7 linked regions of the Macaca mulatta genome follow. The protein of the gene in region 3 interacts with the protein of the main gene of each other region in a pairwise test. Links are inferred from orthologs where the notes say so. Each region holds a gene or a part of one and is shown on either strand. Other genes may lie near its edges.

What was found.
Region 1: the proteins of KRT40 (region 3) and CYCS interact in binary tests that used the Homo sapiens proteins (3 or more experiments, as listed by UniProt). The two-hybrid records come from large-scale screens. The link is inferred for Macaca mulatta from reciprocal best matches to the Homo sapiens genes KRT40 and CYCS.
Region 2: the proteins of KRT40 (region 3) and PIMREG interact in binary tests that used the Homo sapiens proteins (3 or more experiments, as listed by UniProt). The two-hybrid records come from large-scale screens. The link is inferred for Macaca mulatta from reciprocal best matches to the Homo sapiens genes KRT40 and PIMREG.
Region 4: the proteins of KRT40 (region 3) and ZBTB16 interact in binary tests that used the Homo sapiens proteins (3 or more experiments, as listed by UniProt). The two-hybrid records come from large-scale screens. The link is inferred for Macaca mulatta from reciprocal best matches to the Homo sapiens genes KRT40 and ZBTB16.
Region 5: the proteins of KRT40 (region 3) and DOCK2 interact in binary tests that used the Homo sapiens proteins (3 or more experiments, as listed by UniProt). The two-hybrid records come from large-scale screens. The link is inferred for Macaca mulatta from reciprocal best matches to the Homo sapiens genes KRT40 and DOCK2.
Region 6: the proteins of KRT40 (region 3) and JOSD1 interact in binary tests that used the Homo sapiens proteins (3 or more experiments, as listed by UniProt). The two-hybrid records come from large-scale screens. The link is inferred for Macaca mulatta from reciprocal best matches to the Homo sapiens genes KRT40 and JOSD1.
Region 7: the proteins of KRT40 (region 3) and CCDC120 interact in binary tests that used the Homo sapiens proteins (3 or more experiments, as listed by UniProt). The link is inferred for Macaca mulatta from reciprocal best matches to the Homo sapiens genes KRT40 and CCDC120.

Annotation. Positions count from the first base shown.
Region 1 is NC_133408.1:103,268,155-103,272,348, reverse strand, and holds CYCS (cytochrome c), read right to left. Parts: upstream 2,991-4,194; 5' UTR 2,728-2,990; intron 1,858-2,727; 5' UTR 1,850-1,857; coding exon 1,681-1,849; intron 1,576-1,680; coding exon 1,427-1,575; 3' UTR 559-1,426; downstream 1-558. UniProt on the Homo sapiens protein: Electron carrier protein. The oxidized form of the cytochrome c heme group can accept an electron from the heme group of the cytochrome c1 subunit of cytochrome reductase.
Region 2 is NC_133421.1:7,925,361-7,929,531, forward strand, and holds the start of PIMREG (protein PIMREG), read left to right. Parts: upstream 1-1,214; 5' UTR 1,215-1,298; intron 1,299-1,873; 5' UTR 1,874-1,908; coding exon 1,909-2,202; intron 2,203-4,171. UniProt on the Homo sapiens protein: During mitosis, may play a role in the control of metaphase-to-anaphase transition.
Region 3 is NC_133421.1:65,365,523-65,369,780, forward strand, and holds the start of KRT40 (keratin, type I cytoskeletal 40), read right to left. Parts: upstream 2,849-4,258; 5' UTR 1,825-2,848; coding exon 1,378-1,824; intron 681-1,377; coding exon 598-680; intron 1-597. UniProt on the Homo sapiens protein: May play a role in late hair differentiation.
Region 4 is NC_133419.1:114,996,914-115,000,622, reverse strand, and holds the end of ZBTB16 (zinc finger and BTB domain-containing protein 16), read right to left. Parts: intron 3,401-3,709; coding exon 3,233-3,400; intron 586-3,232; coding exon 356-585; 3' UTR 287-355; downstream 1-286. UniProt on the Homo sapiens protein: Acts as a transcriptional repressor. Transcriptional repression may be mediated through recruitment of histone deacetylases to target promoters. May play a role in myeloid maturation and in the development and/or maintenance of other differentiated tissues.
Region 5 is NC_133411.1:178,525,865-178,530,005, reverse strand, and holds the start of DOCK2 (dedicator of cytokinesis protein 2), read right to left. Parts: upstream 2,836-4,141; 5' UTR 2,775-2,835; coding exon 2,732-2,774; intron 1-2,731. UniProt on the Homo sapiens protein: Involved in cytoskeletal rearrangements required for lymphocyte migration in response of chemokines. Activates RAC1 and RAC2, but not CDC42, by functioning as a guanine nucleotide exchange factor (GEF), which exchanges bound GDP for free GTP.
Region 6 is NC_133415.1:12,822,091-12,826,256, reverse strand, and holds the start of JOSD1 (josephin-1), read right to left. Parts: upstream 2,892-4,166; 5' UTR 2,751-2,891; exon of another isoform or gene 2,566-2,750; 5' UTR 1,931-2,565; coding exon 1,746-1,930; exon of another isoform or gene 1,161-1,745; intron 757-1,160; exon of another isoform or gene 1-756.
Region 7 is NC_133426.1:49,132,125-49,136,498, reverse strand, and holds the start of CCDC120 (coiled-coil domain-containing protein 120), read right to left. Parts: upstream 2,814-4,374; 5' UTR 2,674-2,813; intron 1-2,673. UniProt on the Homo sapiens protein: Centriolar protein required for centriole subdistal appendage assembly and microtubule anchoring in interphase cells. Together with CCDC68, cooperate with subdistal appendage components ODF2, NIN and CEP170 for hierarchical subdistal appendage assembly.

The sequences.
Region 1 (4,194 bases), on a different chromosome or scaffold from region 3:
GAATTACAGCAAGCTTTCCACATTTCTTCTACAAATAAAAATAAGACTCACATGTTATAAATTGCTTTCAGGCCTTAAACACCTATCTAATCATCCCTATCACCTTTGAGACTATGGATTTACATCTTCCCAGTCTTCTCACTGTCCCACAAAGATACAGCTCTCAGCTCGCCAGCACAGATTTATTTTCTCATCATTCTTTATGTCTTACCTTGTGCTCACCATCTCCATAAAATCTCCAAGGACTATTCTAAATGTGTATGGCACAGACTACGCATGAAATAATTCAGTATGTAATTACACTGTTACACATCAGAAAACTATGACCAGAAGCATTTGTCTGTCCATGTCTGGCATAAATGCTGCAGTTCTCAATCTGGGCAAAGAAACTAAGAGTCAATTAGTGAAGTGTTATTCTAGTTCAGGCAGTCCTAGAAAACCAAGTAAACAATCTAGCACCATGACTGGTTAATGCTGCTGCACTGATATTTAGGGCTCCTGCACTTTTTAATCATTAAAGTTTCTGCATCAGTCATGAAATCAAGCACAGTCAAAAAATCATGATCTGTGGTTTTCTTTTTAATTATCTTTAGTCTTGCGATCACACATTTTAAAATTTGTGTATATCTCCGCTACTTTAATCCTTTTAAGTTGGCAAAAGCACCATTCCCAATCACAAATACACAGTTCTACAGTTTTATGTTTCTGAATGGCTGTTTAAAGACAATCCTAAATTATAACTTAGTTTGACTTAGATTGTAAAGAATTCAAGAGTGAAGTTTAACTTGCTACTATTTTAAAAGCATGTGACCTTATAGATTTGTAAGATGTGAGAAGTGTTGAATAATCTTTAATATTACACATAAACCATACTAAAATGCTCTTCAATAAGTAAAAGGAACCATTTTAAATACAGGGAATTATAATTAGATTGGCATCGTTAAGGCCAAAACTCTAGACATTGCTACCTTATTTATCTTCAACCCTTGCCTTTAAGAGGCAAATGAACACAAAACACAGGTGAATCTTGCTTAGTTCTGAGACAGTGAAGGAATTTCCCCAGTATTTAAATATATTCACATAACCAGCTATATAAATCTAAATATAAAACCAATCTCCAGTAAGTTTTAAGATGGCACTCACCATCTTTGCGAAAAGTTGAACATTACTAACAAAGTCTAATCATATCTTTAGAAGGGGTAAACAGTGATAGCATTTACTGAATTGGAATTACTATTAAAATTCAAAAACGGAACATATTCATTTAACCACAAGCCAGTCTTAGTTTTAAATCAGGACTGCCCAACAAAATATTCTGTCAGTCATTCATGATCTGAATTCTGGTGTATGAGATCTATTAAAGTATGGTACACATAAAAAAGTCATGAGACATTTGTTTTGTAATAAATAAGGCAGTGGCCAATTATTACTCATTAGTAGCTTTTTTGAGATAAGCTATCAAGTCTGCCCTTTCTTCCTTCTTCTTAATGCCGACAAAGATCATTTTTGTTCCAGGGATGTACTTCTTGGGATTCTCCAAATACTCCATCAGTGTATCCTCTCCCCAGGTGATGCCTAAACAAGAAAGAATGCATCGGTTAAGTATTTCACACTCCTCATAGTGTGTCACAGGTGATATTCGTGCGTTTTGTACTGTTTTATTTAACAAGTGGCTCTTACCTTTGTTCTTATTGGCGGCTGTGTAAGAGTATCCAGGGGCCTGACCTGTCTTCCGCCCGAAGAGACCATGGAGATTTGGCCCAGTCTTGTGCTTGCCTCCCTTTTCAACGGTGTGGCACTGGGAACACTTCATAATAAAAATCTTCTTGCCTTTCTCAACATCACCCATATTTAATTCTAAAAACGAAAGCCCCAACTTAGTAATTTTTCCTCAGGTAACAAATACAGTGTAAATGAATGACCACTCTAGCCACTTAATTACCAATCCATTGGTAATTTATGTCATTAAATACCAGAATTAATCTTGTATTGCTTTAATACTCTTTATACCAAATACTCTTTAATACCAAAAACATTTTTTAGGAGCACCTCCTCAAAAACCTATTTTCGTGTGTACACGTGAAGGAACGTTAAAGCCCAAGCAAGCAAAGAGGGAACCTAATTCAAACTCCAGTTTCAGAAGAGAAAATCATGGTCACTAAGCCACAGATCTGACGCTGAAGGGCGATCACATTAAGCCAAAATCACCACAATTTCAATTTTTAAGAAGGCCTAGTCATTTAATCTTACTACCATGTAAAGCTACCTCTTCCTGAGGATATTGCAAAGCACACAAATATTTAAAAAGCGGTACTGGCTGTTTCTACCTGCCCAGGTCACAGAAGTAGCCTGACACTCGAACTTGTAAATGGGAACGCAGGGGCAGGCTGCACGGTCCCCGCAGGACATCCCCACTCTCCTACCTGTGATCCCCCGGGGCGAACATGAGGTCACCCATCCAGGTCGGTTTCAAGGTGACTGATGAAACTGTTTCTAGGATGTCAGAACGACTGACGGAAGAAACGTGCCCACGTAAAGAAATGGCCCCTTATTAGAAGAGCAACAGCTTTTGCCCTCTGAAGGAGAACGTGAAGTGCTAAGCTTCGGCTTTCCGGGTGGGAAGTCTTGCCTATCATTTCCATAGCCCCTCAGCAACCACTACGAAAGGGGCCGCGTCTTCCTCGGATCTGTATCTAAGCCTCCTCTAGTCCCTGACTGAGACCATACCTGTCCCTAGTTAGGGCCGCCGCACCTCAAGCGGTTACTCGCCCGGTTCGGTCTGACCACAGTCCCGGGTCCTCACTCCCGGCCCTCCCACGCAGCGCGGGCTCCACTCGGAGGCTCCACGCCTGGGTCTCGGTCGCTCGCGAGTGCGCGCCGCCCACAGCTCTGCCTCTAACCAGGTGCGGCTTCCGCGACCCGCTCTCACCTGTTTTTAGTCGCTGGCGCAACGAATATTCCCGCTCCAAAGCAGGACGTCCCCACTCTCTAAGTCCAAGGACACGCCGGTTCGCGCTTAAGTACCGGTGTAAGTGCAACCAAACTCGCTCCGCGCTCCCGCGCCCTGACGTGCGGCCGAGCTGGCGGCTACGCAGTAACGTCGCCGCACCTCATTGGCTCTAGTCCCAATGCCTGCGCAAAGGACCTGCGCGCGCATGCAGGCGAGCATGTTAGGGTGTGCGGCGTGCGTGCCCTTCCTCTCGAGGCCTTTCTTGCCCGGCCGTTACGACAGGCCTTTGGTCGTACGACAACGAGGTGGTGTCGGGAGGGGTGATGTCACCCGCGGGCCTCTGTGCGCTTGCGTGTGCTGGAGGAACGGGGAGGGTGGGGCGGAGTCGCCTTGTTGGCGCGTTGCCCTGCTAAAGTATCAGTTCTTGGGCGTGGTGATGTAATGATCTTTGAGCAGGGCGTTCTGCCCGTCCAGGAAAAGACGCCTTAGTTTTGGCGCACCTAGAGGTCTCCTAGCTACCATCTTGTCAGCTGGCGACCTTTACCCAGACTCTGTCCTGCTCCCTTGGCTGGCGCCAGCAGCATCCTAGAGGGACAGCCTGGAACCAGGAGTTACACGAGTTGGGCAGCAGCTCGTGACCTTGTTCTAGTTCCACCTCTACTCCGTTACTTTCAGTCATCTTCCAGCTCTCCGCTTGATGGACGCCCCAAGACTGAGGAACGTGCTGCATTTGCGGCAGAACAGGATTATCCCTCTGACCCCTTACCTGTCAGCGTCTTTTCTGCTAACGCCCTCCTCCCCCTCGCGTTCGTGTGCCGAAAGAACACAGAATGTGTGCTGGCAACATCTAGGAAGAAACATTTTTAGATGATTAGAGAATTATTGGAAATCTAGAGGATTTGCATCCCTTCTTACCTAGGTAAAGGTCATGTTCAAGTAAACTTAATGCAGTTAAGATCATATTGGAAATAAAGGCGTTAATACCCAGCTTTTAGTTATCATAGCCATCCTTTAAAACTAGATCCCCTTCCTGACATGCCTAGTTCTGTCACTGGTTTTCTTGACTCCTTTACCCCTCAAATTCTGGTCCCAAGTTCTGATTAATTTTTCCATCTTTCTTGTTTTTTTTGTTTGTTTGTTTGTTTTTTCTTCTCTCTCCTTGTATTCTGTCTGGCACTGCCGTATTAAGTCAGGTGTTTATTGGCCGGGCGAGGTGGTTCACGCCTGTAATCCCAGCACTTTGG
Region 2 (4,171 bases), about 57 Mb from region 3:
TGGTGGCGGGCGCCTGTAATCCCAGCTACTCGGGAGTCTGAGGTGGGAGAATCGCTTGAACCCGGGAGGCGGAGGTTGCAGTGAGCCGAGATCGTCAGGCTGCACTCCAACGTGGGCAACAAGAGCGAAATTCTGTCTCAAAAACAAACAAACAAATGCCACCAATATACGAATTTGGGCATTACATTTCCAACATGTGAAATTTGAGGGACACATTCAAACCACAGCAGAGGGTCAAATCAGTTAATAAACTGCAACACCAGTACCTGTGCATACTAAGGGCCATATACACGTTAATCATTATCATCATCCTTTCGTTGGAAATCACTGAGGCCAAAGGAGTGGGTGAGACCGCCCAGAAACGAAGAGGGCTGAAGACAGTCTTTCAAGAAGTCAGCATCTCAGGCTCTTGTGCCGGAGAGGAAACAAAGAAACCAGCCAGGGGACTGGGCAGCACAGCTCTGAGGTCACCGAAAGGAGAAGGATGAACTTCTATAATGGCTGATTGTGTTTGGATGCTAAGGAGAGGAGAGGCAGGCATTCCGCTGAGAGAGGGAGGGATGCGTGGGGCAAGGCGGGGACGGGGAGCTGGTGTAGGCGGGAGGAGGGCAGACGAGTACTCTGGTCTATCCCCGCTTCCAGGACGCATCTTCTGGGAGGGGGGCGCGGAGCATGGATGGCGAGTATGGGGAACTCAGAGAGGGACAGTGTCTTGTCACAGGAAGGGAGGGTCAGGAGGGAAATTTGAAAGGAAACGTCTCTGGGAACCCAGGGCTCCGCACTGCCAGGCCCTGGCTCCTTCGGACAAAACCACTGAGCAAGAAAGAAAAGCCAGACCCCTTGGCAGGATGGACAGGGTCCCTGCCCACTGCGGGGTCTGAGGCCTGAGGCCTGAGCCAGGAGGCCTAGATCCCAGGACCTCCGCCTCCACCCCATGGATCAGAGCAGCCTCAACCCCGTGCGCGCTCCAGGGAGGGGACCCGGCGTGCGATGCGCGGGGGCTGGGCGGGCAAGGGCGGTGGCCCGGGCGGGACGCATAACACAAAGCCCGGAGCCACGAGGCTGGCGGCAGGGAGGGGGCCGGAGAGATGAATGGGGACGGCCGGGCCAATCCGAGCGCAGCATTTACAGCTGCGACAGAGAAAGCCAATCGGATCCCTGGGGCGGGGACGGGGGCGGGGACAGAACCAATCAGCTGTGAGGACGGGGCCTGGGGCGGAGCCGCGCAGAGTTTCAAACCGGCTGTGGTGGGCGAGGAGCAGCTGTGCTGGGCGTGTGATCCGCGTTGGTGCTGTCGGGTGAGTGCGGGCGGGGCACAACAAATTTCGTTCTTGTTCCCCAGGCTGGGTGCAATGGCGCGATCTCGGCTCAAAACAATTTTTTTTGTTCAGAGGGGAGGGCATTGGGTTCGGACACGCACGGCCTGTGGAGGCGTCTGGGTACTACAAGCGTCGGATCAAAATCAGGGCGTCTGGTGGGAAGGCCGGGATCTGCGTGGGGGCGCGTTTGGTCTGGGCGAGCTGGTGAAGGAGATGGTGATCGTGTCCTGGGCCCAGCGCTGAAGCTCGGCTACGGCGTGTCTTGACCCCGCCTCCCCTCCACGCCTGAGCCAGAGAGAGGAAGGAGGTTGGGATGAAAAGACAGCTGTTTTGGAAACTTGAAGTGCGGGACAGCAGAAATGCTGCTGACCCGAGACCTCTCTTCCAGGAAGCATCCTCCTTCCCGCACCCACACTTGCCAACTCGCCCGCTCCCCGCTCGCCCTCGCCACCCCGCTGCATCCCATCTCTTCCCCTGTGTCCAGGGTCTCTGTGGGGCCTGGAAATGGGGATGGGGAATGCCTTGCTGACCTGCTTTTTTGCCCTCCTCCCCAGGGTCTAGTGGACAGAGAAGACTCTTGGCCAGACAAATGGCTTCTCGGTGGCAGAGCATGGGGACCTCTGTGCGCCGGAGATCTCTCCGGCACCAGGAGCAGCTGGAGGACAGCAAGGAGCTGCAGCCTGTGGCCAGCCATCAGGAGACCTCTGCAGGGGCCCTGGGGTCTCTGTGCAGGCAGTTCCAAAGGAGGCTGCCCCTGAGAGCCGTCAACCTCAACCTCTGCACAGGCCCCTCCTGGAAACGCCTGGAAACCCCAGAGCCAGGTCAGCAGGGCCTCCAGGCTGCAGCTCGCTCAGCTAAGAGCGCTTTGGGTGCCATGTCCCAGGTAATAGTGACAATACTAATCATCTTTTTTATGGAGTGTTTCCTTGGTGCCAGACAGTTCCTGCCCTCAAAGAGTCTCAAGAATATAGACTCCAAGAAGACAGGGATTTTGGTTAGTTCACTGCTGTTTCCCCCGCACCCCAAATAGTTCCTGGCACATATAGGCACTCAACAAATAGTTGAATGAGTTAGTGAAAACATGTCTTGGAGGAAACAGATGCTCACAATACCAGGTGATAAGAGCTGTACGTGATAGGAAATTGCAAGCAAGTGGCCAATAGCGAGGGCTCGCCAAACACAAACTTAGCCGGTGAAGGCTTCCCAGAGGAGATGATTCCAGAGTTCACCCAGGGAAGCAAAGGTCAAGGGGTATTTAGGGTAGGAGAAATAGTGCAAGTCCAGAGCCCCTCAGGTCCAAGCCTAGAGCTGAGGGAAAGCAAGGTGTACTGCCAACTCAGCCGTGTACCCCTGAGGAGAGCCAGAATTGTAGTCTGGGTATGAGCAGAGGACAGAGAGCAAGGTAGAGCCGGGAGAAAGGACATGAAGGAGCTTAGACTCTCCCAGGAATGATCAGGAGTCTGGAGGATTCTAAACAGTGGAAAGTCTGGTCTCATTAGCATATTAGAATTTGTCCTTTATCTACGTGATGGAGAACGGAATAGAAGCAGAGGTGCTCCTGAAGGAGACTAAGGATCTGGACTTGCAGAGGATAAACTTCAGGAGCTGCTGAGAAGGTCAGTTAGAGGGGATTTGCTGTCAAATGAGAGGTGCTGGCAGGAAGATGTCCTTATATTGGATGTAAGCGTCTATGGGCCCTTCAACCGATGCATCTTTAAACCCAGAGCTGGAGGTGTAGACGTGTCACTTAGAAAGGACAGAAGCCATTAGGATGAACAGACCTCCAGAGAGAGGACTGGGGGCTGCAGAGGTTTCTCCTCGGTGTCTCATTGGGAATTCTGAAGACGAGAGAATTCTCCAGAAAGAGAGTGGCTCTTTCTGGACCCTCTGCAGAGAGTTCTCTGAGCCAAATGTTAGTCTTTATTTGGAAGAACTTTTTGATTGTTTTCGCCACCCTCAGGGATCAGAGAAATGAAATGAATTTGTCCAAGGTCACGTAACTCATCAGATTTAACCTGGGCTGGGCTCCAACCCCTGGGCTCTGGCTTGCCAAGGCAAAGACAGTCGAGCTGATGAAGAAGAGCCTTCACAGCCGTCACCCAGCTGGTGTGAAAGGCCCAGGAGTTGGGGCTTGGTCCTATGTGCAACAAGAAGCCATAGAAGGGTTTCGAGCAGTTGAGTGTCACAGTCAGAACTGCCCTTTAGAAGGATCACTATGGACCACTGTAGAGGGTGGATAGAGTGAGTGAGACCCGAGGCAGGAAGACAGGCGCTCTCCTGGTGTGCAGGGGGTGCTGGGCGGGGGAGCCTGCTCTACTCTGGGCCCTCTCCTTCAGTCCTGGGGTCAATCTGTGTCTGGAAAGAGAGTTTGGACTTAGACAAACAGGCTCCAGGCACCAGGGGGATCCTCCTGCTGCTGACTGCTGCTGTCATATCCAGGAGCTCTGAGCTGGGTCCCTGCCGTGGACTCATTCTACGAGGAGTCAGTCACATCCTTCACCCTGGAGACTAAAACAGCCTGTATTTACAGGACACTTGGTGGGTCTAGGGATCGCTGGTAGGGTCTGGAGACCAGGGTAGTTTACCCTTGGGTTTTTTGTTGTTGCTTGTTTGTTTGCGAGACAGGGTCTCACTCAGTCGCCCAGGCTGGAGTTCAGTGGCACGATCTCGGCTCACTGCAACCTCCACCTCCCGGGTTCAAGTGATTCTCATGCCTCAGTCACCCAAGTAGCTGGAACTACAGGCACCTGCCACTGTGCCCGGCTAATTTTTTTTTTTTTTTTTTTTTGTATTTTTAGTAGAGATGGGGTTTCACAATGTTGGCCAGGCTGGTCTCGAACTTCTTACGTCAG
Region 3 (4,258 bases):
CGGCAAAAGAGAAATCCAATGCTTACTTTGCTGAACGCTGTGCAAAGTGTGGGGATACGTGGAGGATCGACACATGGACTTCAGGAAGCCACATGCATAATTTCTCTTAATTCCTAAGTAATGATAAATTCAAGCTTTTAAAACATTCTTGACTTTAAAATATTATATAGAGAATATTTGTGGGTGGGTGTGTGTGTGAGAGAGAGAGAGATTAAGAGAGAGAGAGAGAGCGAGCCATAAATTATTTTCAAATTAAAATTAAGGCGGGGTGTGGTGGCTCATGCCTGTAATCCCAGCACTTTGGGAGGCCGAGGCAGGTGGATCACCTGAGGTCAGGAGTTCAAGACCAGCCTGATCCACATGGTGAAACCCCATCTCTACTGAAAATACAAAAATTAGCTGGGTGCGGGTGGCGGCGCACGCCTGCCTGTAATCCCGGCTACTCAGGAGGCTGAGGCAGGAGAATCGCTTGAACCCAGGAAGCAGAGGTTGCAGTGAGCCGAGATAGTGCCATTGCACTCTAGCCTGGGCGACAAGAGTGAAACTCCTCAAAATAAGTAAATTAAATTAAATTAAATTAAATTAAATTAAACTTACTTTGACTTAAAGTCATCAGTGGCCAGTTTGCAGTTGTCAAGCTGTACAGCAAGTCTAGAATTCTCTGCTTTCGTGCATAAGATCTGGGAAGCAAGCCATTATGTGACAAATGATTCTTTGAGAGAAACCTAAATAAACTTCTATCCAACAGCTATGCCATTAGTTATCTTTTGAAAGTCTTTATAAGAAAGTATAAAATCACCCTCAGCCTGCTTTTCTTATTGACCTTGTCGCTTCATGAAGAAAAAAGCAGTGCCAATTTAGAAGCAAAATAGAGAAATAAAAAGGTTTAGTTTTTTAATAACATAAGACACTTTGCAACATCCCTAGGCAGTTGAACACCATTAACGTTTTCTCCATCAGTAGTTTGTATTATGACTCTATCCTCTCCCATAATAATAGAAATTCATCAAGGAGACAAGCAAATGATTACTAGGTGGTTAAAAAGATGGCATTTGACGATTTGTGTTCAGATAATATAAATGTTCAGTGTCAAATACAAAAGCGATTTTGGATGTAATACAGTTTTTCTGCATTCTATAGATGATGAAGGAAAAGCCTAAGGGCGAGTTACTTTATTATAGTCACTCAGTTATCAGGGGTAGTTCTGGCGCTGGTGCTGAGGTTTTCTGACTTTCAGTCCAGTGGTCTCCCCTATGTACCATTAATCCTGGAATTCCCCTTTCCCTTGGTTGCCTTCTGGAAAACCGTCCCTCTGGTAGAAAGATAAAGCAAGTCATAGATCCGGAAGGTGGAGCACTAGGGCAACAGGACACACACCTTTTGTTGGAGATCTTCAATGGTGTTGAAGTAACACTGATAATCCGGGCACACCATTGGGATATCCTGTTCACATTGTTCTTGGATCCTGGATTCCAGCTCTGCGTTGGTCTCCTCCAGGCTGCGCACCTTCTCCAGATAGTTGGCAAGTCTGTCATTCAGGAACTGCATCGTCTCCTTCTCATTGCTAGTGAACACCCCATCCTCACACCAGGCACAGTTCCCCACCAAGCAGGGACTGTTACAACTCCCAGTAAAGTAGCATGGCAGGAGGCAACCGGTCAGCCCGCGAGACCTGGATAGGAAGCTTGGAGTCTGACATCGGGATGTAGCACAGGCACCGGGGAGACAAGCTGTTTCTATGCAACAGCTTGAGGCAGGTGCACAACCGGAGGCCGTGGTACAGGATTCAGGAGAGCAGTGTGTGGAGGAACAGTCAGAAGTCATCCTTCCAGAAGCAAAGACAGAGGCTGGCTGCAAAACTTCAGTTGCCTTGACTCCAAAACTCTCCTTCCCTCCTGAGAGTTTTATAACGCCCCAAAATGGGTGTTTACAGACTGCACCGGATGTTTTCTTTATCACTGATGGTGCCAGTTTTCATACAAACATCTCATTAGAGTTGTTTATTTACTGAGGAAGAGTTTTATGCCTCATAAAAGAGGGATAACTTTAGGTTACCGAAGCAGGACCTACACCATTTCCATGTGCCAGACAAAACACTTATTTCAGAAAATTGTCATAGGAAACATTGTCCTTTTGACAGAATAAGAAAAGAAAGAGAAAATTTGGCCAATCAATAATTATAGATACAACTCATTACAAATCAGGAAAATAACATGTCCACAGATTTTGATTCTGTGCATTGATTGCTTGGGTCCCCTTTTAAAATTAGTATTACAGCTCATAAAATGACATTTATTTGTTTGTGCCACACCATAAAAATGGTCAGTGTGATTAGCAATCTTTCAATGCTTTTTGTGTTCTCAGAGTATGTGCTGACAAGACTGGAGGAGTGAGCTATATATTAGACTTAATGTGTGTGTGTGTGTTTGTGTGTGTGTATACAAACATGTCTACCTGCGTACAAATGGAAAAGTCACTTTACGTAACTGATAGGAATAACTTGTTTTTCTGCAGGCTAAAATATAAATTGGTTAGAGCTGGAATTATGATCTTTGATTTTCTGAAACTTGCCTTCTCCCCATTTCTCATTTCTTGTTATTAGATAAGTTATACTATTTTACGTGTATTTCTAATGAGAGTGAAATATAAATTGTAAGTTATAACCTTTTAGTCCCTTGGGAATTCCTCAATGATTATACTTCAGAGTAGGGACAAGGAACCCACAGGAGTCTTTTCTTCTGAGATGTACAGCCTGTTTTCTCCTATTTATTTATTTATGAAGGCCTGAATTTCATGAAAATTAATAATGCTGGAACTTGCAAAATAAAATTTTATTTAGGTTCCAAATCAGTGATTCCACTGGATGAAATCTCTGGTGCCAAATCTGACAGATAGGAACTTGAGATGTGTAACTTTTTTGGATTCTGTCTTGGATTTCAGCTCCATTATGAAGCATAATCTGTTTCACTTTGCTTGGTTTTAGTCGTTATGTTTATTTCATTTTCAAAGGTGCATAGAGAAAATTGCCTGTAGAATTTTTGAGAACATTATAGGAAAAGAAAACACAGTAATCTGAAAAAGTTAAAAATTTTTTGATCCAGAATAAACTTATTTTTTCCCCTAATCCTGAGGGCTACTTCCTGGGTAGCTGATAATAGAAACCAAACCAGAAGAACATATGTAAGTGAGTTAAAATAGTCTCTGAGGATTTATTACTCCCTGGGCAGAGTTAGGTTTGAATTTAGTGATTCTCTTTACACATCAACACTTATGCAAAAAGTTCTTAGAGTGTCTCATGGTATATTGACGCTGCTCTGCAACAAATATGAGTTCAAGGATTCAAAAACACTTCTGAAAAATTACAAATCTCTGAAAGAAAATTATCTTTTCACAGTAACCTAATGAGTCAAAAGAAAAGTATCTTTGAAGAAAACCCACGTTTTGGTTGTCCATCACAGGTTCCAGTTAGCTAAAGCGCAGTCATGTAACTGCAGGTAAAATAAGAAATATTTCCTTTTGTCTGGAACTAATTTCTAATTGTAAAGTATTGGTTACTAGTTAGTGTCCTGCAGGGTAGGACTATTTGTTTTGTTCTTGATTAATTAGGTAGTGTTGTATAATAATGATCTATAGCTATAGTCTCCATCGTAGAATATGGAAATCACCCAGAATTCATTTCTGTGGAGTCCTCCTTAGGGAAGAGAAGTCAGGCTGGCAGGACCAGAGGAAAGCAAAAAAATAAAAATAAAAAATAAAAAATAAAAAAAAGAAAGAAAGCAGATACGCTATAAGATTCATCTTCTTCATCATGGTCCAGGACACATAACCCTCCTGCACAATATTTCTGCACCCAGCTATCACCAGACTTTCAGCTGATAGAAAAATGCAACTTAGCTCACTGCAACCTTTGTGTTATCAGTACTGCACAAACCCTCTTCAGCACACAGCACAAGCACCATGCTGTAAAATCTCCAGCACACCTTTTCCTCCTTGCAGACAGCCCCTTCTCTGCTGTGCTGCCCATTGCTTCCTTGCAACGTATTTTCATACTTTCTCTAATAAATCTGCCTTTCTTTACCTACAACTATGTTGATAAATTCTTTTTACCCCCATGCCGCCAGCCCCAGATAGTCGCTAATCACCCGTGACAATTTCTGTGGTGCACCATCATCAGAAGAAAGGAACATTGGGAATACAGAAAAAGAAATAGATGTCATGAAAGGCCATGATAAAAAAAAAAAACCAAAAAAACAGAAAA
Region 4 (3,709 bases), on a different chromosome or scaffold from region 3:
GACCTCTCACCTGCTTTCTAGCCTCCATTTCTGGACACATAAAGGAAGATCTGGGTGAAGGCAGGAGAAAAATGTGCCACCATTTGAGTGAACAAAATACCCCACCCCATCCCAGAAAATCAGGCAAACCTCCAGCCGGGAGAGGAGGGTGGAGGCCCCCAGAGGAGGGGCAGTGGCTTGGCATCCAGGTCATCTGGAGCCCAGAGAGAATCCAAGGCCAAAAAGCTATCAGGTTTCCTTTTCCTTCTCTTTTTTTTTTTTCTTTTCCTTTTTTATTTTTCATAGTCCTTCCTTCATCTCGATCCAACTCTTCTTTCCTGGCTCCCCGCTCGGCTCCACCGCCGCGGGCCTCCCTTCACACGTAGCACAGGTAGAGGTACGTCTTCTCTATCCTCCAGTCGGGCGGGATCTCCTCGGGCTTGTGGCCCTTCATGTGCTTCTGCATGGAGGAGAGGCTGGGGCAGTACTCTGTGCAGATGGTGCACTGGTAGGGCGAGGCGCCGTTGTGCGTTCTCAGGTGCTTGATCATGGCCGAGTAGTCCCGGGAGCGCTGGTGGCACAGCTTACACTCAAAGGGCTTCTCACCTGAGGGCAGAGGGACAGGGCAGGAGAAAGTGAGGACAGAGGGCGGTGAGGGCACCATGTCACCCTCAGGTGTGCCAGGGAAGCTGGGTTCCTCCTGCTGGGCTTGTTCCAACAGAACTTTCTGGGACAATGAAGGCACCACCCAAGACGGCAGCCACCAGTCACACATGGCTATGAACGAGGCTGGTGCGACTGGAGCTCTACAGTTTTCTGATTTTATTTCATTGTAACTAATTTAAATAGCTACATGTAGCTAGTTGACTACTGGATTGCCCAGTTCCTTGTCTTACTATTCTTAACTCTCCTAAGGCCACAGTCTTTTCCCTTTCTAATTAAGAAAATGAGTGTCTAGAAAGAGAAAGGCCCCACGGTCCTCAGGAATGGCTCTTCGAGCCGCAGTTCCATCCAGGGAGCAGGTGGATCGAGACCTTTCAGGGCTACAGATGGTGGGGAGCAGGGGTGGGGGAAAACTGAGGGAACCCAGTCCTTCAAATATGCCGCACCTGGGAACCTCTATCCAGCTAAAGCCTTTTTTTTTTTGAGATGGTGTCTCACTGTGTTGCCCAGGCTGGAATGCAGTGGTACGATCTCAGCTCACTGCAACCTCTGCCTCCTGGGTTCAAGTGATTCTCCTGCCTCAGCCTCCCAAGTAGCTGGGATCACAGGTGCTGCCACCATGCCTGGCTAATTTTTGTATTTTTAGTAGAGACAGGGTTTCACCATGTTGGCTAGGCTGGGCTTGAACTCCTGACTTCAAGTGATCTGCCTGCCTCGGCCTCCCAAAGTCCTGGGATTATAGGCATGAGCCACCGCACCCGGCCTATCCTGCTAAAACTGCTAAGACTTTGCCCTGGACCCTGCCTCCCTCCTGAGGCTAGAATTGGGGGTGGGGTGGGATGGGAAGGATAAAGAACCTGGGAGTACACAGCCACACCCTAGCCTTCTATACCCCAACTTTCCTTCCATAGAGTCCCCTAGAGCTGAGCAGAGGATGTGAGGGAACCTTGTTTCAATACAGTAATTAACTGGCCAGCCATCTCGCTATCAATACTCCTCCGTGCACAGGCCCCAGCAAATAATGAAGTAATGAACAGCCAAAGTGATCTAACCATCGACCAGCTATTTACAATAGTCACTGCCAATACAGTTAATGATCCACCTGCCAGGTCACATCCCCGACAAGGGGCTAAGGAAACCCCAGGGCTCTGGGAAATCCTCTGGGTCACTATAGGTGTCAGCAATGGACACCCAACCCTGTCCTTGGGGGCTCAAACTGGGGCACGAAAACTGAGCTCTGACAACACGTAGCTCTGCTTACTGCTCCTTCTGTCCACCCTTCCCCTCCAAAGGCAATGTACTCTCCTCTAAGCCAGCAGGACCTGCCTGAAGCCACCTCTCCCCCTTCCTCTGGACAGGACAGCTGTCCCCCCCGATCAGAGGGGTTTCTTTGTTTTCCATGTGCCACCACCTCTTACCCTTCTGTAAATCAGCCTTCCCCACAACCAGCAATGTGCTGGTGGTAAATGTTTAACAACTGGCTTTCTAAAAAGCCCTGGTTTGTAGCATCTGCTGATTGCTATGATGTGAATACTCCTACCAGGGCCAATTTTAAGCAACTAAGGTGATGTCGCTGAACTTGAAGTTGTGAAGAAATGTGAAAAATTAGCTTTCACAAGCAAGCTCCAATACTCCACTGCCCCCAACCTCGGACACTGTGGAAGACCCTTCACTTCTTTTGTCTTCTGACCTCAGGAAAAGCAGTGGCCCACATTTCTTTTTCCAATACAAACAATAATGTGGCCGGGCATGGTGGCTCATGCCTGTAATCCCAGCACTTTGGAGGCCGAGACGGGTGAATCACTTGAGGTCAGGAGTTCGAGACCAGATTGACCAACATGGCAAACCCGTCTCTGCTAAAAAAAAAATACAAAATTAGCCGGGCATGGTGGCACACGCCTGTAATCCCAGGTAATCGGGAGGCTGAGGCAGGAGAACTGCTTGAACCCAGGAGGCAGAGATTGCAGTGAGCTGAGATCATGCCACTGCACTCCAGCCTGGGCAACAAGAGCGAAACTCTGTCTAAAAAAAAAAAATGTGAAGGCACTCTGAAATGGTAAAACATCATATGCATATAGGGATTATTAAATATATCTGCTCTTCTAATCTCAGAACCAAACACAATCTAACTTTACAATTTCCCAACTTCCATCATAACCTGATTCAATGCATCCTAATTCTTACTGTAACCCTTGAGTAACATGAAATTCGCTTCATGTTAACTGGACCTAACCTTCGCTTCCAGCTAACTGGACCAACTTACCCCTAATTTAGGACTCATATACAGACATCATTTTGCATGTCACCTCTGAACTATTGGTATAACTGCCTGGAGAGCTGGTGGGGGCTCATTGGAAAGTGTGCTGGGATTGATTAGTAATGTCTGCCTTGGCCTTGACTGGTGGCCCTCAGGCCACCTTGACTGGGGTGTGGTGGCCCTCAGGTCATCATACCAGCCCTTAATAGAACCTCTTCTACTCTTTGATTCAGCCTGGGATCATCCTCACTTAGGCTTCTCCAGGAGACCATCTGCTTCCCACCTCCACCCAGGTCCCAGAGCCAGCTCAGACCCCTCCCTGGCCTTCAGTACCTGTGTGCACCCTATAGTGCGTCTCCAGCTGATGCTTGAGGCTGAACTTCTTGCCACAGCCATTGCACTCATAGGGTTTCTCACCCGTGTGGATGCGTTTGTGGCTCTTGAGTGTGCTCTCATCCCGGAAGCAGCTGCCACAGAACTCACACTCGTAGGGGTGGTCGCCTGTGGAGACAAGCGGCTGGATCAGGCATTTGCCTCTCCCTGCCCCCTCCTCAGGGTACAGTAGGGCACATTCAGTGCATGAGAAGGATGAGACGGCCTGTATTCACCACCTCCAAAGACAACTTAGGGATCCACGGCCACACCTCCATTGAATAAACAAGCAATACCTGTGTTCACACATGTCCACACTTTACTGTGGGCCCATGATCATCTGTGGGGCAAGGGCCAGTCCTGGGAAAAGAGAGCCCATTTGGTTCAGGGATGGACAGCAGTCCCCAGAAAGCAAGCCCTCATGTGGATACATGAGAC
Region 5 (4,141 bases), on a different chromosome or scaffold from region 3:
ATGCTAATCCAATATGACTGGTGTCCTCATGACAGGAGGAAGAAGCAGCAAGGGTGTGCCTGCACAGAAAGCAATGAAGAGGCAGCAAGACAGCCATCTGCAAACCATGGAGACAGGCCACAAGACAAGCCAACACTGCTGGTACTTTGATCTTGGACTTCCAGCCTCGAGAACTGTGAGAAAATACATTTCTGTTGTTTAAACCACCCAGTCTGTGGTATTTTGCTATGGCAGTCCTAGCAAACTAATACATCATCCTCAATATTCTTCCTCCTCTCCTTAGTTATGAAGAGAACTCCTAATTTTTAGCTGGGTACATGGCTGCCTACATTACAGACTACATTTTCTAGCTTCCCTTGCAGCTATAGTCAGTCATGTGATTACATTTTAGCCAATAGGAGGTAAGAAGAAATGTCAAGTGTGCCTTCAGGTAAATGTCTTTAAACGGAAAAGTCATGACCTTCTTTTTCCTGCATCCTTTTTGCTGGCTGGAAGGTGGACCTGATAACCGAAGCTTAAGCAGCTTGTGTGGCTCAGAAGGCAGAAGTCACATGCCAAGGATAGATACAGTGTGAGATACAGAATGAGCCACCTTACCACCTCTTCACAGACCATTTCTGAGCTTTCTATGCAAGACATAAATAAACTTGCAGTTTAGTTAGGCCACAATTTTGCAAGTTTACTGTCACCCTTAGTCACACTTAACCCTAACTGATACTGTTAGTTTCTCTTTCTACCTCCTCCTTTTCTACCCTTTCCTCTCTCCTGAAAGGAGAAAGCTCTCTTCACTGACAAGAGCCTCAGGCAGAGTGGATTAACCTAGTAAAAGTTAACAGGAAATGTTGATTATAAGTGACCTCCTGCTAGATTAACCAGGCAGAAAGTAGACAGGTAAAACTGTTACCCATTTTCCTTCTATTCTAAGTCCAATCCCCACTCCTGTCCTAATTAACTATTTAACTTCTTCCAGATGACACTGCTCAAAACCTCCAGTGCTCACAGAAGGAAATCCAAACTTCGAAGCTTGGCACTCAGAGCCCTTCACAATCTAGCCATAATCTACCTCTGCAATTTTTTTAACACTAAAAGCAATACTAAAACCAAAGCAGAATATTTATTGTTTGACCCACACACTGCAGGGATGCCAGCTCCCTGCCTTTACCCATGATGTTTCCCTTCTAGATGCTTTTCTGGTGCCATGACCTAGGGTCTGAAGACAATTGAATTTAAGGCCCAGCTTCATTGCTTCCAAGTGATGTTAACTTGGTTACTGCATCTGTAAAGTGGGAATAATACACTGCCTCACATGCGGGTTCTGAAGTCAGACACAGACTGCATGACATTTGGTCTTGCAAACCATGAAACACTACAGTCTCATAAGGCATGACTGTCCTGAATCTGGCATTAGGGTGCATCTTGGTGCTGGTGTCTCTTGGTTCTGAAGCTGCTAGGTAAGCCCCTTGACCTCAATCTCTAATTCTCATTGAGCCAGCACACTACTAAATGCTTTCCATGCATAACCCCATTCAATCCTTACAAGAGTCTCATGAAACCTGCATTATTATTAACATTCCCACTTTATAGATGAGGAAACAGACCCTGATTTCAACTCAGTTCTGACTTCCCAGTCTAAGCCTCTAGCCTTCCACATAACTCCTCAAGGGCAGAAGCTGTATCCTTCCTTACTTTGTAACTGCCCGTTGAGGATAAGAATTATTATGTGTTCTCTGGATGGGAACCATTCATATCAAAATGCCCCCCACCCCATGCCCGGTGCCCAGTAATTGAGTGGATAACTACTGATCTCTCCAGGGCAGTGTTTCCCGAACAGCGGCCTGGGGACCCCCTGCATCGAATCCCTCTGGGCGCTTGGGTCTTCCAATGCCTCACCTGCTAAATCTTTGTTTCTGAGATGGTGTCTGGTATCTGCCTGTGTAGGAAGCTCCAGAGTGACTTTTTAATTGATATTGAAGTTTGAAAACCACAGTGAGTCCATGAAGATTGCACCACAGATGCCACTCAGAGAGAGTAGTAGCACCTGAGGCCTCCCTTCCCCCAGCCACCACTTCCGCCCCTGAGCTCCAGGCAGAGGCCTCTGGGAGTTTAGATGGCTGAGGCTGACAAAGCTAGCTTCTGGGTTACCCTCAGACCACCTGACGGGAGCCTTTTTCCCCAGAGGCTCTTAGGGGCTGAGTAGAGAACCCCACCGTCCAGCCCCATCCCCCAAGCTTGAGCTGCCCTCTGGATGCCCTGCCAAATCGGGAGTCACCTGACCCAGAAGGAACAGACAGGGGAAGCAGGCAGATGGGTGTCGCTTTGGAGGGGGTGGAAGTATGCATGGTGGGCAGGCCAAGGCTGAGCCTGAGGAGAGTGGAGCTCCCTCTATAAGGCCAAGTCTCCCATGCGGCGAGTTGGGGCACTCCTGGGGACGATGAGTCTGGCGAGAAGAGCTGAGTCGTCAAGCTCAAGTCTTGACCCTATCTCGGAAATGCCTCAGGTTCCCTCGGCAGGCGAGAGGGCGAGGGCTGTGCTTAGCGCGCGGGGTGGGGTCCCGCCGTCCTCTCCCCGAGCCTCGGCTTTTCCGCCCCGGGGCCCCGCGGCAGGCTACGCCCTCTGACCTGCAGGCGGCGCGCCCTGCCCACCCCGCGCGGTCAGCCCCGCAGCATCCTCCTGCTCGCGCCTCTCCCGCCACCTGTCCCGCTCCCTGCCGCGCCCTGGAGCCCGCACCTACCCACGCCGTGCCGCTCCTTGTCAGCTTTACGCCAGGGGGCCATGACTGAGCCGGGGCCTCGCCTCCTCCCGTGGGGAAGCCGGCAGGGGGTAGCTGGGCGCCGCAGGGCCCCACTTCCTTCCTCTTTTCAAACTCCTCTCAGGGCCCGCCCTCTCCTCCCTCCCCGGGGCTCCCCGCTCCCTCCTCCCTCCCGTTGGGCAGGGGCACACTAGAAGGCTGGTGCCCCGTAGGCTGGGATACGCCACCCCACCCCACTTCACGCAAAGCTTGGGGACCACTCCCACCTTGTCTCCTCCCCAGGCGAGGGGGGCAGAGGCCAGTCCCCACCTGGGGCTCCCCAGACCGCCACCGCAAGTGCAGAGAGTTTTCTGATTGCCGTGCCTAGGGGACTGAACAAACCATTTCCTTAAGTCCCCTCAGCGTGAGCTTTGGTGTCAGATCTGGGTTCGAATCCAGACGGGGACAAATGAATTCATTTTTCTAAGCTTCAGTTTTCTCATCTGTGAAATGGGATACTAGTACCTACTTCATATGATTATTCTAAGGGTTACAGAGGCAATGTACACAGCAGGTGACATGGAGGTGGATCGTTTACAGCCGCCTTTTTTTTTTTTTTTTTTTTTTTTGAGATGGAGTTTCTCTCTTGCTGCCCAGTCTGGAGTGCAAACACGATCCCGGCTCACCGCGACCTCCGCCTCCCGAGTTCGAGTGACTCCTCAGCCTCCCGAGTAGCTGGGATTACAGGGTTGCACCACCACGCCCGGCTAACTTTGCATTTTCAGTAGAAATGGGGTTTCTCCATGTTGGTCAGGCTGGTCTCGAACTCCCGACCTCAGGTGATCTGCCAGCCTCAGACTCCCAAAGTGCTGGGATTACAGGCATGAGCCACCGCGCCTGACCCATTTACAGCTTTTTATCGTTTTGGTGCCACAAACCCGTTGGAAAATCTGGTGTAAGCTCTAGAAGTTTTATTCTGAAAATACGTAAATACACTATTTACCAACATCACTGCAAGGTGAAGGGTGCTGTCACAGCCAGCAACGGTGGGCCCCAGGAAAAGAGCCCTAGAGTTAGGCTAATGGAGACATTTCCTCGAAAAATCTCATTTTTTGCTCTGGGAACAGATTCTGTCCAGAAAAAAAATCATGTCTGATCCACAGTGATAAGGCTGAATTTAAGTTTTGCTGAGTTTTCTTTCTTTATTCATGACTCTCATTACCCCTTTCTGCCTTACACTGAGAGTCATTAAGATACATAGGCAGTATCACAGCTGAACTGGAGTGACAAAAAATTATTTCGTTTTACCTGCAGTTATTTTCTGTTTTCTAGCAGCGTAAGTTAGGTAATAATGTCTTGTACAGACAGCAGTGGCATTAGGGTTCCCCCAGATGACCAGAATAGGAGATTATA
Region 6 (4,166 bases), on a different chromosome or scaffold from region 3:
TCAGGTATTTCACCCTGAGTCCTTTCTTCTCCCTAGTTTTAGATCAGGAAATAATTTACAAATCTGATTAGGAGTAGGAGAAATACTAACGGCTGGCCAAAAGGAAGCAGTCCAATGTACTGGGTTCTCCTTTCAGTGACATGACCTGATGATCTGAGACAAATTATCTTACCTCCCAGTGCCCCAGGTCCTGAAGAGTCAATTCTACTTGCTGCCAGATAATGGCCATGATGCAAATAACATATTTACCCTGGTAAGGCATTACTCTGGTTACTACTGGCATTGGAAAATAATTACTCTCATTATAGTTTTGTCTGCATCTGGGGATTAACATTCTTCTAAGAGTAAGCCTCTGGCTCTTTCAGGACAAATGGTCCATACCTGTGTTTTACAAATCACCCCAAATAGGTTGCTACCAGCTGTAATTCTGGTCCCTATGTGGCAATAATTTCATTTCCAAGCTAAGAGAGTAAGAAAAAGGTCTTCTGGAATTGTCAATATGTACTGCTTGAAGAACGCTTGAGCTCCTCTTCAGTGAGGACTGTGTGGGCCTAACCCTTTCTAGTTGGGGTCATCAGGCAAGATCACCATCTGAGTTGCTATGGACTGCAGATATGCTGTTGTGTCCATCAAGACACCACAGAACTGACTCTCAAAACCTTTAAAGTAATTCTAGAAAATCAAAGCAAAGAGAAAAAAGCTGAGTTTTTTTTTTTTTTTTTTTTTTCTGAGACCTGTCACCCAGGCTGGAGTGCAGTGGCACAATCTCGGCTAACTGCAACCTCCACTTCCCGAGTTCACACGATTCTCCTGCCTCAGCCTCCCGACTAGCTGGGACAAGTGTGCACCACCACACCCGACTTAATTTTTGTATTTTTAGTAGAGACGAGGTTTCACCATGTTGGCCAGGCTGGTCTCAAACTCCTGAACTCAGGTGATCCGCCCTCCTCAGCCTCCTAAAGTGCTGGGATTATACCGTGCTTGGCCAAAAGCTGAACCTCTACTAACCCGTGGGGTGGCATTTGTTCTAAATGGATAAGAAAGGCCATCTAGAATAAAGGAGAAAGAGGCGATCTGGAGTCAACTTCAAATTATAACTTTGCTATTTAGAAGCTATTTGGACATATTACCTGACCTTTCTATCAGTAAAATACAGGCAGTGAAATGACTGTTAGGAGGGCTACACAAAGCAATGTACGAACAGCGCCACTGCCAGCACATGGCTCACAGAAAAGCTGAGCATTGTGTATACCTCTTGCTTGTGGTAGTCACCACATTCCACCTTTGATGACAGGCGACTGAACGTGTACGTATCGGGTCCCACTTCTAGACTGTAAACTCCTCGGCAGCAGAACTTTAGAGGCATTTAGCATAGTGGTCAACAGCATAGATGTAAGAATTCAACCCCAGCTCCAAGTCTTGTTACCTTGAGCAAAGTACGGAACTAAATGTGTCTTCATCAGTAAAATGGAAATAACACCACGTATTAACACGTATTCCATGGGATTGTTGAGCAGATCACTCGAGAAAACACAGCCGAGAATATGAGCACTTTCCTAGCCCACAGTGAGTGCCCGATACATAGTAGTGATTATCTTTTCCTGTCTTGTGTCCCTGATACCTGCTAATGACATCTAGCTAATACCTATAGATTTAAAGGTTTATGAAACTTGAGACATTATCCCACCCACAGAAATCCAAAAATATCAGTAAGTATCAAGATGCCAAGGAGAAGGGTCCCCTACCTCTGGAAAATCTCTTGCAGCGTATCCCGGGTGAAGGCATTGCTGTCCTGGAAGACGTTATTGAGGGCGTGGAGGGCACAAAGCTCCCTGCGCTGTTTCTCATGGTAGATTTGTGGGGGTGCTGCCTGGGGCAGCTCCAATGATTCAGATTTGGCCTTGTCTCCTTTCCATGGCACACAACTCATGTTTTTTGTTTTAGGTTCCAGAGATGGCTATAAACACCCTACTCTTCCCTCCAGAAGAAGAATGTAACCTTCTCAGTCTTTTCCGGGTTCCTGAGGTTCACCTTATTCTCTGGTGTCCATGATTTATGCTTTGTCACTGGGAGAAAAGACTGGAATCAAAAGGAAAAAAAAAACCCACCTCTTTTCTCTTCTCAAGAGAAAAATAACTTTTGGATTACTTTCATTTTGCTACCACTGTCAAATTGCAGAATTAAAAAAAAAAAAAAAAAACCCATAAAATGTAAGACCTTGTTTCCGTTTCCCCACCCTTCCCTCCCACCCCCCTCAAAACTCCCCACGATTTTCTTGCTGTTTCCCTCTGCAAATGCCAGGCCTCAAAGCAGGAGGACCGAACAGCATCGGTCACATCGCTCCTTTTCTTCCATTTCTTTCGAACCACGACGCCACTGACTCGGGAGACAAGGCCTGGGTGGCGGATAACGCGCACGAGTCGAGCAGCTAGCGCGGGCCGGCAGGCGTGGGACCGCGAGCCGCGCGGGGGCCTCGGGGGCAGCCCTCCATCCCCTTGGGTACGGTGGGGCCCGCAGGGCGCGGCTCCCTCGGAAGGCGCGGACTCTCGCCCTCTGGCCGCGGCCCTGCGGAGGAAGAGACAACTCCGGTCAGCGGCGAGCGGGCGCGGGAAGTGCGCGGCGGGGCCGGCCCCTGCCCGAGGGAAGGTTCCTTCCGCGCGGCGACGGGTTGGCCCGCAAGGGGTGGGGCCGGACAGTCAGCCTCGCGCTCCTGAGCCCGGACCCACCCGGTTCGCCGCCCCTACACCAACCTCCCCACCCGTCACGTGAGCGCAGGCCCAGACGCCCTCCCGCCGCGCCCCTGGCTGCAGACCCCAACGCCGTCGGGACCGCTCAACGCCAGCCGTCCCCTCACCGACAACGGCCGCCACCTGGAGTGCGGGCCGCCAACTGGGCCGCGCGGGCGGGCGCGCGCACCTGAGCCCGACGTCACCGGCCCCCGCCCGACGCGTGCTCCGGAAACGCCCTCTGGCGCCGTCCTCGCTCCTCCCAGCCGTGGCGTCACGCCTAGCGTAGGTGTGACGTCATCGGCACCGGCCTGGGAGCCGGGGACGCCGGGCGTGTACGGGCCAAGTTGAACGGTTGGGGTGTGGCGGAGCAGTGGGTGTGGGGCTGCGGGCTGCGGAGCTCGGCGGCGGCCGGCAGGATTGGGGTCCAGCCGCTCGGCTCTGCGCTGTCCCTGGCGGGGCGGGGTGGGGCGGCCTGAGGGAGTCCTGCAGGCCAGCGGCTGCCGTCCGCGGCTTTCCGCACCCCTCCCCTCTCTGGGCCAGGCTTCTCGGCCGAGCGTTCTCGCTCCTTCTGCGTTGACTGTTTTCTGTGTGGCTAACGCGCGGCTCACCAGGGGGGATTTTGGAGCACCTGATTCGGTCGGGCGCAAATTGCCTTGGTTAGTGGGCCCGACCGTGCCGCACTGTCCAGGGAGCGCCAAGGGTAGGTGCCTCGCTTTGAGTCACATTTCAAGTGGAAAGGAGACTCCTGTTGCAGTTCCGTGGTGTCGCATTTCAGTTCACTACACACAAGCCACTGCCCTCTTGCCTGGGGGCTCCCCGCTCTTCTCACGGTGGCTTTCCTCTCTGCAGAGACCTCTGCGCGAAGTATACCTAAGCGCATTGTGTGCGTCGTCGGGAAACGGCGAACTACTCGCAGTCCCACGTGGATTTCATTTTTTTCCCTTTACCTACTCTTAGGGTGCGTGGTAGGCATCAGTATCCACCTTAGCTGCCCTCCTTTGGGGTTTTTCGTAAAACTGGAAAAACGAGAAGAAATTGCACTTTAAATTTAGTTTGTTTTTGTTTTTGTTTTTGTTTGCGACGGAGTTTCATTCTTATAGCCCAGGCTGAATTGCAATAGGGCGATCTCAGCTTACTGCAACCTCCACCTCCTGGGCTCAAGCGATTCTCCTGTCTCGGCCACCCGGGTAGCTGGGATTGCAGGCCCCTGCCACTTACCCAAGGCTAATTTTTGTAGTTTTAGTAGAGATGGGGTTTCACCATGTTGGCCAGGCTGGTCTCGAACTCTTGAGATCCAACCGTCTCGGCCTCCCAAAGTGCTGGGATTACAAGTGTGAGCCACCGCGCCTGGCCTAAATATTTATTTTTGAGACAGGGTCTTGCTCTGTTTCCCAGGCTGGAGTGCAGTGGCGCGTGATCACGACTCACCTGCAGCCT
Region 7 (4,374 bases), on a different chromosome or scaffold from region 3:
CCCGGGTTCAAGCAGTTCCCTGCTGTAGCCTCGCGTGTAGCTGGGATTACAGGAGCCTGCCACCACACCCGGCTAATTTTTGTATTTTTAGTAGAGGTGGGGTTTCACCATCTTGGCCAGGCTAGGCTCGAACTCCTGACCTTGTGATCCACCAGCCTCAGCCTCCCAAAGTGCTGGGATTACAGGCGTGAGCCACTGCCCCCAGCCTCAGATCCATTTTTGAGACAGAACTAGTATCCCTCAGCTTCCAAATCCTACTTGCTAACTAGACACGGTACCCTTCCTGCTCACCAAATGAGACATATTTGAAACAGAGCTGTTTTCCCTCATGATTCAACCTGTCCTTTCTCAACATAAAAAATGCAGGAACCAAATACATTCAGAGAAACTGTCTGAACTCTCACCATACAAATGCAAGAACTGAATGGATTTAGAAACATTTTTGAGATACGACTGGTATCCCTCATTCTTGAACTTTCGTTACTCTCCAGGCAAAATGCAGGAACCTTTACATAACAGGGTACCCTCACTATCCCAACTCTTGTCCCTGGAGCTCAGGAAAGTTCATAGATTTGGATATATTTTTGAGTTAAAGTCATTATTCTTCATTATCTCAATTTTCCCCACTCACTATGTAAGATGTGAAAACAAAATACCTTCAGATAACTTGGTAGGTTTCACTGTCTGAACTTCGGGCGCTCTCCCTCTCAGAATTCAGGTACCAAATAGATTGGGACAGTGAGGAATGCTTGTGTTGTTATCAATAGGTTTGGATAGATATTCAGGATAAATAAGATAGGTCTGGCATCTTGTTATTCAAACTCACTAGTCTCTGTGAGAAATGCAGGAACGAAACCTAATTGAGTAACACATTACCCTCTAGCCATCCAAGTTCTCCCCATCACCCTCAGAATCAAGGAGATTCGGACAATGAGGGGAACCCTGCATTATTGTTGTTACTGTTACTACTGGACAGGCCTGATTCTTACATCCAGTGACTGCCTGGCCTTCTCTCCCACAGACAAGCCCCACAGAGGTGGGGTGGACTTAGCACCAAGATTTTTATTGCTTACTGCTGAGAGGAGGAGGATGAATCCTTGACCCCATCCCTCCTCTATACCAAGTCCTGAAGCCTTGGCCTAGAATAGACTTCTTCTCTTTCAGGCCAGGAAAACAGGGATCATGCACCCAGAATCAAGACCAGGGAATAGGGGTAACATGGCCTAGAAGATTCATACATACCCCAGCATCCCCCATCTCTTCATATTTTCTCAACTCTTCCCCACAACGTGAGGCAGTCCCCAACACAGCAAGGCTGGAAACATGACCCAGACCTCTCAGACTCCCAGAGAGTCACTGAATAATTTAGGGTATTCTTTCACACTTGCAGAGGGCAGCAGCGTAGAACAGTTGCATGCCCTCCTGGGGCAGGAAGAGAAATGTAAGCTCTATGTGAGATCACTAGGGTGGGGGTAGGGGAGATCACACACAAAAACCCCCATCAGCCACGCAGGGTGCATAGGGCTGCTTGCTCTTGCTAAGAGAAGCATTTGGGACGTACTTCAGAGGTCCTGGTAACAGCAGAATCTTCAAGTTCCGGGCACAGTATAATGGGACCCCTGTCCTGGGCTCAGAAGGGATGGCAAGTGGATATTAGGAAAGAAGAAGATCTGAACAGGGTGGAGGGGCATGGTAAGGGGGAGAACAGCCTGGGGCTGGGATGGGAAGGGACAGAACAAGAAGGAGCGTAGGGGACAAGATAGAACCAGTGTTATTGCAGGATGGAGGTCAAGAGGCAGGATGGGGAATGAGCCAGGACACTGGCCAGGGGATGGGATAAGGTAGGGTTCAGGACAAGGGTCAGAGAAAAAGTACAAGAAAGAGACAAAACAGCAGGGCAGACATGACTAGGAAAGGCTAAGCCAGTGGTCAAATGAGGGGACAGGGAAAAGGGCAGGTTCAGGATGGAGGTCAGGAACAGGAAAAGACCAGGACACAATGAGGATAGGAATGAGTATGGTGATAGAAAAGAGGGAAAAACAGGACAGAGTCAGGGGCAGGGACAAGGCAGGAGACGGGGGGTATTTAAAGGTGGTGAGCCAGGATGCAGATCACGAATATATAGGAGAGGATATCATATAGGGTGCAGAGAAAGGACAGAAGTTAGAGGGCAGGAATCAGGACAGAACTAGACCAGATTGGGGTTAGGGGGACAGGACATGACTGGTAGAGGTTCAGAGACTGGATAAGAGTTTAGGGAACAGACAAGTCAAGGGTCAGGACAGAAACCGGGGTCAGTGTTGGGCATTAGGATAGGGCAAGATGTTTCAGAGATGAGACGGGGTCGGGCAAAGATCAGGGTCAGGTCAAAGATCCCCAGGACAGAACTGAATGGGGTCTAGGGTCAGGACTGGATTTAGGGGGAACAAAACAGGGGTTGAGGATCATACCAGGCCAGAATATGGTTAGGTCAGGGCTCTGACGTAAGGTACTGAGGCCAAGGCCAACAGGGGTTGAGGTTTAAAAAAGATGTAGTCAGGTCGGAAGGGGTCAGGGCTGAGGCCACGGGGTCAGAGGTCGCGGGTGCGCGCGCAGGTACGCCCCGTCGGCGTTTCCAGGCCTTCACCCCACCCTGTCCCCTCCCTTCCTCCGCAGGCGGGGCTGGTTACTCACCAAGGGTCCCAGCGCAGCGGTAGGCGGGGTCGGTGTCGGCCGGCCAGGGTAGTGGGCGCGCCCCTCCCTCACTGCGCCCTGCTCGTCCCCGGGCGCGCGTCTGCTCCCCTTCCGCGCCCTGCCCGTGGGCCGTGTTTGGCTGCGCGACCGTTAGCCGTGGGGACCAAACGGGGGTCGCGGGGAGGGTGGGAGGGGAGTGCCGGCCCGGCCGCGGGCGACGGACCCCCGCCCCCACCTCTAACTCGGGTCTGTCGGCTTCCAGCGGCACGGCCACCTCCGCCGCTCAGCCGAGCCTAGGGGGTGGGGGGACCAGGGGGCGGGGCGCGAGACCACAGCAGCGGCGGAGACGAAGTGCGCAGGCGCCGGCTCGGGTCTTGGATTTTTCTTGCTCCGGGAGCGCCAGGAGCGAACAAGCTGGGAGCGCGTGCGCACACTCTTTCTCGAGGGCGGTGGAGCCCTCCCTCGCCGAGGCCACGCCCCCTCAGGGAGCCTACTGGCGCCCCTCACCCCAAGTCGTCCCCTAGGGACCCGCAAGCAGTACTCCAAGCTGCTCTCTGTAAGTTATCCCCACACCTCTAAACCCCAGCTACCCTCCCTATTGTCCCTCAAATGCACTCCAAACCAACCTCCATTATCCTCCAAATTATATCCCCAAACTACTGTCTGTTGATTCCAAGCGGTACCTCCAGTCCACCCTCTATGGACACCCAAGCTGTAGCAGTAAACTACCTTACACTACCCCCAGTTTGCTCCACCAAACCATCTGCAATCAGCCCTGAAACCATTACCCTCCAAACATAATGTCCAAATCACCTGCTATCTACTTCCAATGCGCACCCGTAACACCCTCCATTGACCCCAAACCCCTCTCCATGAACCCTCCAAGCCATATTCCATTGACTCAAAATGGCTCTCCAGGAGACCCCAACACCAGTCCAAACATTCCTAATTACCCTGAACGTGGGCCTCACCTGCACCACAAAATAATTCCAACAGTCACCCACATTACCTCCAAACCATGTTCCATGGACCCCTCTGAGCCAGCCACCTTTCATTGACCTCCCCTCATATCCCCACAAAATTACCTTCCAACAGCCCCTATCACTGTGCCATGTAACCCAACTACACTTTCTGTGGTCTTTTTTTTTTTTTTTTTTTTTTTTGAGACGGAGTCTCGCTCTGTCGCCCAGGCTGGAGTGCAGTGGCGCGATCTCGGCTCACTGCAAGCTCCGCCTCCCGGGTTCACGCCATTCTCCTGCCTCAGCCTCCCGAGTAGCTGGGACTACAGGCGCCGCCACCTCGCCCGGCTAATTTTCTTGTATTTTTAGTAGAGACGGGGTTTCACCGTGTTAGCCAGGATGGTCTCGATCTCCTGACCTCGTGATCCACCCGTCTCGGCCTCCCAAAGTGCTGGGATTACAGGCTTGAGCCACCGCGCCCGGCCTCTGTGGTCTTTCAACTGCATTTCAAGCCACCCTCCAGCACCCTCTACACCTCTAACCCACACTCCACTGACCCAAACTGCACCTTAAACCACTCTCCAACAGTCCTCAACTGTACCTCCAAATAGCCACCAACCATCCTGCTGTAGTTACCCAATTGGGCCCCCAAATCATACTCCAGTGGCCCCAAATGTGTCCCCTAAGCCCTCCAAAGACTTACATGCACCCTGGATCATACTTAAGTGACCTAAATTACAAA